Linked DNA regions of Arabidopsis thaliana. The protein of the gene in region 2 interacts with the protein of the main gene of each other region in a pairwise test. Each region holds a gene or a part of one and is shown on either strand. Other genes may lie near its edges.

Evidence for each region.
Region 1: the proteins of FIM1 (region 2) and ACT2 interact in a protein complementation assay, tested with the Arabidopsis thaliana proteins (one study listed by BioGRID).

The regions. Positions count from the first base shown.
Region 1 is NC_003074.8:6,473,076-6,477,739, forward strand, and holds ACT2 (actin 2), read left to right. Parts: upstream 1-1,634; 5' UTR 1,635-2,006; exon of another isoform or gene 2,007-2,449; 5' UTR 2,450-2,459; coding exon 2,460-2,913; intron 2,914-2,991; coding exon 2,992-3,605; coding exon of another isoform or gene 3,606-3,653; exon of another isoform or gene 3,654-3,691; coding exon 3,692-3,757; 3' UTR 3,758-4,129; downstream 4,130-4,664. UniProt on the Arabidopsis thaliana protein: Actins are highly conserved proteins that are involved in various types of cell motility and are ubiquitously expressed in all eukaryotic cells.
Region 2 is NC_003075.7:13,461,308-13,468,140, reverse strand, and holds FIM1 (fimbrin 1), read right to left. Parts: upstream 5,045-6,833; 5' UTR 4,785-5,044; exon of another isoform or gene 4,570-4,784; 5' UTR 4,382-4,569; coding exon 4,295-4,381; intron 4,222-4,294; coding exon 4,051-4,221; intron 3,952-4,050; coding exon 3,710-3,951; exon of another isoform or gene 3,678-3,709; coding exon of another isoform or gene 3,625-3,677; coding exon 3,453-3,624; intron 3,341-3,452; coding exon 3,302-3,340; intron 3,221-3,301; coding exon 3,152-3,220; intron 3,072-3,151; coding exon 2,955-3,071; intron 2,668-2,954; coding exon 2,456-2,667; intron 2,183-2,455; coding exon 2,030-2,182; intron 1,889-2,029; coding exon 1,689-1,888; intron 1,591-1,688; coding exon 1,433-1,590; intron 1,334-1,432; coding exon 1,237-1,333; coding exon of another isoform or gene 1,214-1,236; exon of another isoform or gene 1,143-1,213; coding exon 1,051-1,142; intron 970-1,050; coding exon 715-969; 3' UTR 540-714; downstream 1-539. Other genes in the region: AT4G26701 (DNA binding / DNA topoisomerase type I), read right to left, coding at 86-154, 255-395.

The DNA of each region.
Region 1 (4,664 bases), on a different chromosome or scaffold from region 2:
TGATAGAAAGGAAAAAAAATATAGATGATTACTTAATGTCACATGTATTTCGACCAAATGTTCTTTTATTTATAAACTTAAACGTTAAAAGAGTTTTCAAAACACATTCTACCTACAATTTTTCTTCTTTCACGTTGTTCTTAACTACAGAAGATTTGATCTCTACATTAAAAAATATATATATAACGAAACTCTGGAAACATCATTGTTCGATTGGTTTCTATTGCAAGTTGCATGTAGGGTTTAAACCGATTTTAATTTATATGGCACAAATCCATTATTCCAAAAAAGAAATAGAACTTTATGGGTGGATTGTGGTGTACCACTACTAGTAAAGTTGAGAGGAAAAAAGCTAGATCTCTGGGATCAAGCAAACTATTAATTACATACCAAATCAAGAAAACTAACCTTAATTGACTTTTCTCCAACAAAAGATATGAACGTGGCCTGCCATTTATATGAAAACTTTATAATATAAAAAACATGAACGTGGTCTGGCCTGCTTTGCATAAACCAACCCATATAATAAATAGTGAGAAAATTAAATGTAATGATAATAGTAGCAATGTATAAATCAAGAAGTAGTTTCGTAATGATGGACACAACGTTTTCGTAGGTGCCAGCTTCATCACCTTCCCACATTCTCTCTCTTTCTCACCTGGTACGATCGTAACCGGCACGTGCGATTCACGTGGCTCGCAAAAAAGTTGACTTTTTAGCTTTGATTTAATCTCAACAAACATTAAAAAGTTTATGATGATGAATGATTAGTTTGCTTTTTCTTTTGTATAACATGAGAGGTTACATGTTATTGCTCATATCTTTCACTTACATAGCGCATCGCACGATGATGATTTGATCTGATATACGGTCTGATGGTCATATGTTCAGTTTTTAAGCTAACTAGATGAGTTCAAATACATAAAATCATAATATATGCGTATAGTTAAATATATTTCACCATAGAATAGCTAGCTAACTAATACATGGATCGATGCCAAAAGTCCCAAAACTATATAAGTGACGAGGACACCAACAAACTATTCGTCACGTCGACAAAATTTAGAACGAACTTAATTATGATCTCAAATACATTGATACATATCTCATCTAGATCTAGGTTATCATTATGTAAGAAAGTTTTGACGAATATGGCACGACAAAATGGCTAGACTCGATGTAATTGGTATCTCAACTCAACATTATACTTATACCAAACATTAGTTAGACAAAATTTAAACAACTATTTTTTATGTATGCAAGAGTCAGCATATGTATAATTGATTCAGAATCGTTTTGACGAGTTCGGATGTAGTAGTAGCCATTATTTAATGTACATACTAATCGTGAATAGTGAATATGATGAAACATTGTATCTTATTGTATAAATATCCATAAACACATCATGAAAGACACTTTCTTTCACGGTCTGAATTAATTATGATACAATTCTAATAGAAAACGAATTAAATTACGTTGAATTGTATGAAATCTAATTGAACAAGCCAACCACGACGACGACTAACGTTGCCTGGATTGACTCGGTTTAAGTTAACCACTAAAAAAACGGAGCTGTCATGTAACACGCGGATCGAGCAGGTCACAGTCATGAAGCCATCAAAGCAAAAGAACTAATCCAAGGGCTGAGATGATTAATTAGTTTAAAAATTAGTTAACACGAGGGAAAAGGCTGTCTGACAGCCAGGTCACGTTATCTTTACCTGTGGTCGAAATGATTCGTGTCTGTCGATTTTAATTATTTTTTTGAAAGGCCGAAAATAAAGTTGTAAGAGATAAACCCGCCTATATAAATTCATATATTTTCCTCTCCGCTTTGAATTGTCTCGTTGTCCTCCTCACTTTCATCAGCCGTTTTGAATCTCCGGCGACTTGACAGAGAAGAACAAGGAAGAAGACTAAGAGAGAAAGTAAGAGATAATCCAGGAGATTCATTCTCCGTTTTGAATCTTCCTCAATCTCATCTTCTTCCGCTCTTTCTTTCCAAGGTAATAGGAACTTTCTGGATCTACTTTATTTGCTGGATCTCGATCTTGTTTTCTCAATTTCCTTGAGATCTGGAATTCGTTTAATTTGGATCTGTGAACCTCCACTAAATCTTTTGGTTTTACTAGAATCGATCTAAGTTGACCGATCAGTTAGCTCGATTATAGCTACCAGAATTTGGCTTGACCTTGATGGAGAGATCCATGTTCATGTTACCTGGGAAATGATTTGTATATGTGAATTGAAATCTGAACTGTTGAAGTTAGATTGAATCTGAACACTGTCAATGTTAGATTGAATCTGAACACTGTTTAAGGTTAGATGAAGTTTGTGTATAGATTCTTCGAAACTTTAGGATTTGTAGTGTCGTACGTTGAACAGAAAGCTATTTCTGATTCAATCAGGGTTTATTTGACTGTATTGAACTCTTTTTGTGTGTTTGCAGCTCATAAAAAATGGCTGAGGCTGATGATATTCAACCAATCGTGTGTGACAATGGTACCGGTATGGTGAAGGCTGGATTTGCAGGAGATGATGCTCCCAGGGCTGTTTTTCCCAGTGTTGTTGGTAGGCCAAGACATCATGGTGTCATGGTTGGGATGAACCAGAAGGATGCATATGTTGGTGATGAAGCACAATCCAAGAGAGGTATTCTTACCTTGAAGTATCCTATTGAGCATGGTGTTGTTAGCAACTGGGATGATATGGAAAAGATCTGGCATCACACTTTCTACAATGAGCTTCGTATTGCTCCTGAAGAGCACCCTGTTCTTCTTACCGAGGCTCCTCTTAACCCAAAGGCCAACAGAGAGAAGATGACTCAAATCATGTTTGAGACCTTTAACTCTCCCGCTATGTATGTCGCCATCCAAGCTGTTCTCTCCTTGTACGCCAGTGGTCGTACAACCGGTTAGTACATTTTAGGCTTTTTGTTTATACTCATTGATCATTATTTGAACTGAGCTCTGATTATCTTCCATTGAACAGGTATTGTGCTGGATTCTGGTGATGGTGTGTCTCACACTGTGCCAATCTACGAGGGTTTCTCTCTTCCTCATGCCATCCTCCGTCTTGACCTTGCTGGACGTGACCTTACTGATTACCTCATGAAGATCCTTACAGAGAGAGGTTACATGTTCACCACAACAGCAGAGCGGGAAATTGTAAGAGACATCAAGGAGAAGCTCTCCTTTGTTGCTGTTGACTACGAGCAGGAGATGGAAACCTCAAAGACCAGCTCTTCCATCGAGAAGAACTATGAATTACCCGATGGGCAAGTCATCACGATTGGTGCTGAGAGATTCAGATGCCCAGAAGTCTTGTTCCAGCCCTCGTTTGTGGGAATGGAAGCTGCTGGAATCCACGAGACAACCTATAACTCAATCATGAAGTGTGATGTGGATATCAGGAAGGATCTGTACGGTAACATTGTGCTCAGTGGTGGAACCACTATGTTCTCAGGTATCGCTGACCGTATGAGCAAAGAAATCACAGCACTTGCACCAAGCAGCATGAAGATTAAGGTCGTTGCACCACCTGAAAGGAAGTACAGTGTCTGGATCGGTGGTTCCATTCTTGCTTCCCTCAGCACATTCCAGCAGGTAAAAATTGATCAGATTTTGTTTCGAATTCTCTTACATGCAAATTGAAATCAAAGGCTGATTATTTATGTATATGTTGGTTACAGATGTGGATCTCCAAGGCCGAGTATGATGAGGCAGGTCCAGGAATCGTTCACAGAAAATGTTTCTAAGCTCTCAAGATCAAAGGCTTAAAAAGCTGGGGTTTTATGAATGGGATCAAAGTTTCTTTTTTTCTTTTATATTTGCTTCTCCATTTGTTTGTTTCATTTCCCTTTTTGTTTTCGTTTCTATGATGCACTTGTGTGTGACAAACTCTCTGGGTTTTTACTTACGTCTGCGTTTCAAAAAAAAAAACCGCTTTCGTTTTGCGTTTTAGTCCCATTGTTTTGTAGCTCTGAGTGATCGAATTGATGCCTCTTTATTCCTTTTGTTCCCTATAATTTCTTTCAAAACTCAGAAGAAAAACCTTGAAACTCTTTGCAATGTTAATATAAGTATTGTATAAGATTTTTATTGATTTGGTTATTAGTCTTACTTTTGCTACCTCCATCTTCACTTGGAACTGATATTCTGAATAGTTAAAGCGTTACATGTCTTCCATTCACAAATGAACTTAAACTAGCACAAAGTCAGATATTTTAAGATCGCACCATTTTATATAACCCCAATCGTCAATTCTACTGTTTCAAGTTTTACACCAAAACAATTACGAGGTGTATCTATTCGTTACTCTTTTCGCTTATTAATCCTTTTACATGATGCAAAATATAACAAATTAATTTCAAATTGTCCTGCACATTTGGTTTATACATCTTGATTCCAAAAAGTCAACTCGTTGAAGAATTAATCAATACTCGAAACGAGTCTTCCTTGGGCCCTAAAATATTGTCCTATCTAGTTGATGCTTATATAGCATATATGGGCTAATAAATTGGGCCTTAGCTTTGGAAAAGGACGTAGAACTTGAAACAATTTTTATTTTTCTTTTTCCGGCGAAACAATTATCTAATTACCAATTTAACCCCAATCCTTTCTCAGTTTCTCTCTTCCGCGTCTCTCCTTCTCGTTATCCTGCAA
Region 2 (6,833 bases):
TTATCTACTTGGAAGAAAAAAAATGTAGCCTGCTTTGCTCTGTTTTATAGAGAAACTCTCATCAGCTGCTGCAGTGCAATGCATATTAGAATGTGAAGTGAGGTTCTACGTCCATTGCCCACGCAAATTTCTCCAGAAGTGACTTGTTGAATATCTACATTAACGAACCAGCCATTACAAAAAAAAAACTTTATTAGAGGACTCTCTTTGTTTCATGGTAGATCAATATTCAAGTTTTGTATATAATTAACTACCTTTTCAATGGGTGCTTCATGACGTTTGCACCATGCGACCGTGATCCTAGGATCCATGTAGTTGATCTTAGAGGTGCCCAACGCCACGGTTTTCAAGTCCTCTTTTGTCTGCATGTCTCGTTCCATCTTCTCTATCTTCATCGTCTGTTGAGCTATCTATCTCTTGTTTGCCTTGACTGTTGTGGATCATCGTCGTCTGATCCATGGTTGTTTGCGTAGTGTCTGTTTTCAAAATAAGATGTACACTTTTTCCTCCTCCTAACTTTTTAAGTACTAAACAAATTTTCACAATTTTACTTTACTTTTCTCGATGTGATTGAGTGTTTGTAACATTGTTATTATTTTTGGTAATTTTAGTTGATGAAACAAAAAAACAAAAGATTACAGAGAAGTCACTATTATAACAGCTACTTTGCTATAGCAAGAGATGTATATCAGTATATATGTGATCTCGCTCTCTCTATTCGATGGATGCTTCCTCTGAGACCGTGGTGATTTCAGAAACCGCATCACCAACGGCCAAGCTCGTGACTTCACCGCTCAATGAGGAGACTTCCTCCTCTTCTGTGACAGATGGGGCAGGGGACGAGGCTGTGCTGGTGCACGTCGTTGTGGTGCTCTGAGTTGACGACGAATCTGAACTCTCCCGTGAATGTCTCTGAAGACTCCAGTACATTATACTTGCCGTTAAAATTAGGATCATCTTCTGATTCACCTGTCACAACATACCAAAACACATCTCATCTGAGCAATTGCTATTTCGGATGATGATACATTATAGTCTCTCAGTTCTTACCTCCACGATATCTTCAGGTAACAAGAAAACCGAACAACCGAGCTTTCTTGCGACACTAACTATGTATGTAGCATTCAACCTCTTCTCATCATCTGTACGTTTCAATAACCATATAATAATCAAATAAGCTTTGATTCAGGTAAACGGAGTAAGTAACTATACCTTAGTAAAAAGAGTAGTGAAAACCTGTTTCACCCTTGGTGACAAGATTCCAGTTCACAACTCTTGGTTCAACCGCCCATAGAAGGTTGAGGAAGAATAACCCACTCGATAGACTCTTGTCCTGGAGAATTTTAATTTGATTCACTAGAAGGTGATAGGTGGACATACTTTATATAATACTATTGTGGTAAGTGTTTGAAGTAGTTGTAAAGAAAGGAACCTTGAAACTCTCGATTTGCAATTTTCGTCCCATTGTTCTTACTTTCCTGTTGGCCCAGCTGAGGATATCTGCATCAGTCATCTCTTTACCTAGTGTCCGAGATCTGAGACTCTTGAGAAGTTGGAGCATATGGAATCTCATCAACTGCCATAAGAGACCTGAGATACACAACCATATAAATCTCCAGTTTGTAAGGCAAGGCGATCATGTTTTTGTATCAAGCTAAGAGAAACATGAGCTCTCGGGTAATGATTACCAAGAATGAGCTTCTTATTCCCTTGAACTATGTCATTTCCAGCTACATTTACAAGTGAGAATTTTAGCTGTTTCCCGATCTTTATGACTTGATTGCAGTTCTCTACTTTTCTAAACGGCATCTTAATCGGTGGTTTGGAAGCATGCTTCCAGTTGACTGAACTGGGAGAGACCTTGTCAAGAACCTCAAGAAGAATCCATCTGCATAAAATAGTAAATGGAACAAACAAAAGGCATCAGGACCAAAGAGCGTTTTCAGTATTTTCCAAATGCAACGTCATCAACTGCAGGAAAATTTTCTACTAATTGCTTGATTTACTATAAGCTCAAAATAAAGATTACCCATTTCTAACATCTTCAAATACATTATTGACATAACTGTCAATCCCGAGGCTGTTGATCCATAGCCGGTAGCATCGTTCATCTCTACAAGTCTCTACGTCTTCGGTCATCATCTCCGCAAATGCATACTTACCATCCTTGTTTAGACCATTCCTGCAAGAGGTACAGACAGGCAGAGTAAAATTGAGAGCGTAGAAAACAAAACAATAAAAAAACTTAAGTGGAAAAATATTCAGGTAAAGGGATTTCAGGTAAGAAGCTATGAGTCATTGATAATAGTACGAAAAGTTGAAAACCATTTCCCCGTTCTTTTTTCCATAACATTCAAGAGTCTGTTCTTTGAGTAAACCATCACCAGCCTAATCAAACAGGACAAGCCATCATCTAGGAGCTTTTTGGGAGATGAAAGTGCATCACGATACAAACCTTTCATGGAAGATTTGTGCCACAAAGGCAAGATTCAAAGTTGAAGATCCTTCAACGATCTCCTCTGCAGTCAAGTATCGCTTGCAGTTCATTCTCTCTGCATGACTGAGAACCAATTCAGCTCTTTCAAGAGGATCCTTTGCATCTAGTGTAGCCGGGTCACAGTGTTCAGGTGCGAGAACATTGAGCAGAAAGGCATACGCTTGTGCATCCTGCAGATTTACCAGCAACACGCTTTATCATAGAAAAAACTTGATGAGGACAAACTCCATCCATAACATTACCAAAACCTTGAGTAAGAATAAAATTTCTGTTTCTTTTATGACTTCTATAGTTCATATTGTTTCTCTTATCCAAGAATTGATATAGCTTCTACATGTTGTAAGGAACAGTAGAACGTAAGTACAATACAATCTTGAATTGAGAACCGCCTAACTAAAGATCTGGATAAGCAAAGGAGAAAGGTTTCCTCCAAGTTGTAGTTTGAGAAGCCAAATACCTTCAAATCTGCGGAAAAGTTTGAGACGGTTTTCTTGTAACCCCCTTTCTTAAGATGGAAGTTCATCCATTTCAGTAAGACTTTCTCAGGGGGTAATCTCAGCAACTCCTCGACATCCTGCAACAGAGAGAAACTTGTTATATTATTGTACAAGAGCAATTAAATGGCTGAAAATGTGATTGGTATAGCTCACTTACATCGCTGTCCTCAAGCAACTCAACAAGCTGAGGCGTCTTCTTTAAATTGAGATCAGCAAGTACTTGAATCTGCAGTTTCCAACATTATTTGGTTAACACAAAAAAAATAAAACTAAGATATACAGAGCGGACAAGTGGATGTGTGCGGACCTTTATGAGTTGTGAAATCAATCCGAGCACCAGGTGAGGCTGCAAAACATCATAAAAGCTCACTGGTCAGAACGGTGCACATAATTACACTTATTGATGTGTGTTGAAATATTTTCAAACGTACACTGAATACTAAGCAGAGAAAACATACCCGTCCTTCGGCCAGGTCTTGTGTGCCAATATTAACAACAGAGCATCCAACAGCTTTAGCAGAGTTGAGACAAAGCGTGTGATTCTCATTTCTCTCCCACGGATTAAGTACCCTCTTAGTGTTGATCGCTCGTTCATCAATTGTCCCGGGAACAGCTACATTTATAAGCTTACTACGCCGGAAATAAAGGGAGAGAAACACGTGAAAGGCAGAAATCAGATGCATTCTGTGTAGAGATGGACTCTAGTGCACCTTACCATAGAAGGACACCATCTTTCACAAGTTCATACAATTGATTAGAATGAGGGTCAAGAGGAAGGAACTGCTTCAAAAAGGGGTCATCCCCTAGATATCTATTGATGTGCTGAACAAAAGGACCCTTCTCCGACTGATATATAGTGTGAAGAAGTGTCGTTGTACAAGCTTTCAGAAACGAGGATGAGTTCTTATGATGACCACCAGATTTCTCAGCTGCTTTACTTAGTAAGTTGAGATATATCTGCACATAAGGATCAATCCAAAACTACATTATATACATATCACATTCATACTCAGTCCAATCCTCGATTCCCCAATGAAACGTAGAACCTCCATATACCTTGAGAAACTCTTCAAAACTCACATCAGTGCTTGTATCAGAACCCAATTCCCCTAGCATACCCTTGATTTCGTCTTCCTTAAATGTTGCACTAAGTGCCTTCAGCTTTGCAAATAGAGGAGGGAGATCTTCAATAGTGACCTTTCCATTCTGATTCTTCACCGACACATACTACACCACAAATCAAACAAGATTACATACAAGAGATGTATATATAAAGGACTAACAGTGAAAAAGAAGAAACCTTGGAATTGAGAGTCCGAAGTTCGACTTGAGTGAACTGGCTCTGTAGCCATGGATCAGAAACGACAACACCCACGTACCCAGACATCTCTCACTGTCTTACCATTCACGGGGAAAGTTTCAATCTTTCCCCTCAAAATCACGCCAAAACCCAGAATCTCCTAAACCCTTGACGACGAATATAGAAAGCCTCTGTTCAATTATCTTTGACAAATGACTACAGATGCAAGCTAAAGCTTCAGGGCATCAAAAATCAGATAATTTGACGATTTTAATCTGTGGCCGAGAAAAAAAAGAAGCAAAATATCACCGATTTGAAGATTTGTCCTTAATATAGCAAGAGATGGATTCATCTCACAACAAGACAAAACTGAGGTAACCGACCAAATCAGGAAAGATAAGAACTTTAACACGCAAACTATTATTTCTAACACTAATCTCGAAACATCGAAGCTAATTCCAATGTACAGAAAAATCCGCAAGCCTCTAACCTCGGGTGAAGGAAAATTCGGCGTTGAACACTACACAACATGTGGAATGACCAAGACGGAAGAACTTAACCGCAATGTACAAAGTCACGTGAATCAATCAATACCAATGAGACGAAGAAAATGATGCAAGGAGAGAGAGATAGAGAGACGAATTATCTGCTTCGTGTGAGCAATTTAAGAAAGCCGTGTACAGAGAAACGTAGAAGGAGGGAAACAAAAAAACAGAGTAAATGTTTCGTGCGGGGAAATTAGGCTCAGTGGCATTGAATGCTTAATTGAGAGGGATCAACATCTCAATATCACGCGCGCGAGTGTAAGCATAGGTTTACGAAACTCGCTTTTTGATGGATACACGTGGATGTGCAGTGTGTCCACGTAGACGAAGGACGCTGACCTCATGGCGTAACGACTTGTCTACGTGTCACTTCCCTTGACATGTCAAAATTTTAGCCGTATGCGTTTAATAACATTATATTGGATCATGTTCAATTCATCTATGCAAACATTTTTTTAGCCGTATGAGTTTCCGTATGCGTGAACGGTGAACCAGATTGTGACAAGATTTGCGGAACCTTAGAACTAAAAGGATGCATTTGGGTCTACCTAAGCAAAAGACTGAGTTTGTGGGTTAAGCGGCATTATTACGTTTCGTTCCTTTTCCTTCGATTAGAAAAATATTAATGTAACTCGTGTTTCGTGAAACGAGTCTTTTGAGGGTCAACGTACTAAGTTGCTTCTAACCCAAAGAACAAACAGTTGTAGTATTAGTATAGTGTAATTGTGTCCTTGTATGTAGTTAGCACATGTGATTCTAAAAAACTTGTGACAAGAAGTACCTAAATATGTTGTTGATTCAAGCCAAATAAAGCGTCTTTTGAGCTTTGTTTTTCATAGATGACAATTTGATCTAAAATGCTTAGAGAGTTAGAGGGAACCTTTTGCCTACGTGTTTTAGAACAAAGAACATAAGTGTGGAGCCCTTGTTCACATTTTCTTAGTTTAAATATTGAAGATCTTATTCTGTTCTCAAGCTCTCATATCTGTGGTAACTTTCGGCCCATTGTCGATCGAGAAAATAAATAAAAAAACTATACAAAATATGGAAGAAGGAAATGTCAGTAACATGTTGCAAATGATCATACTCTTTAATAACTTTTTCTTTTGAGCAAACACTCACTCTATAATATCTATAAGTGTAAATGATGACAAAAAAGGGTCTATAAAGTATAAAAAATTTCCTTCACATGCACATGCCCAACTTCAAGTTTTGTGTATGATGTTTCTTTAACTTTTTATTAGTGGTTATTTCCCAACTTGTGTTTGTTTGGAAGCAATTATTTCAAAATTATATAAATTCTTAACTGAATGTTTGTCGCTAATGTTATAAAAAAGGTAGTATAAAATATGAAATTAGTCTCGTTTGCTTGGTTGTAAACTACATCTATGTTTATTCATGTGTATATTATATAATGTACATCTAGCTAACAGACAATAGTCATGAGTCTATATGTATATAGGAGAGTCGAGCCTTTATAATGAAAGAAATAGATATCTACGTTCTTTTACATTTGACAAGAATCACCAGATATACATAAATCGGAAATAAATTAATTAGTGTTAAAAGGCAACTATATAGTATTAAAATGCTCATTATTTTTAGTACGTAGTTGGAAAAATGTATGTGTTCCAGTTTACTTGATTTCATTTTTTCATCGTTATCGTTAGGACAAAATCTTGTCTCCAAATCTTGTTTTATTTTTTCCCACAAAATACCAAAAAATATCGTTTAGTTTTAAAGTTAAATCTTGTTTAAACCGCGCGATCATGTGTATCGTGACAATATATAGTTATATACTAGTATATGTTTTGTAAGGTTCCAATAATTTAGGGTGGCAAGAATTGAATTTTAATAATCCTAATGGACAGCCAGGTATGTTGGTCGTCGAATCTCGAATCGACTGAACCATCATATATAGAAGATTTGATAAATATAACTGAGAAAATAAATGCAATACAAAAATGAACCACCCTAAACGTATAATTTACAAG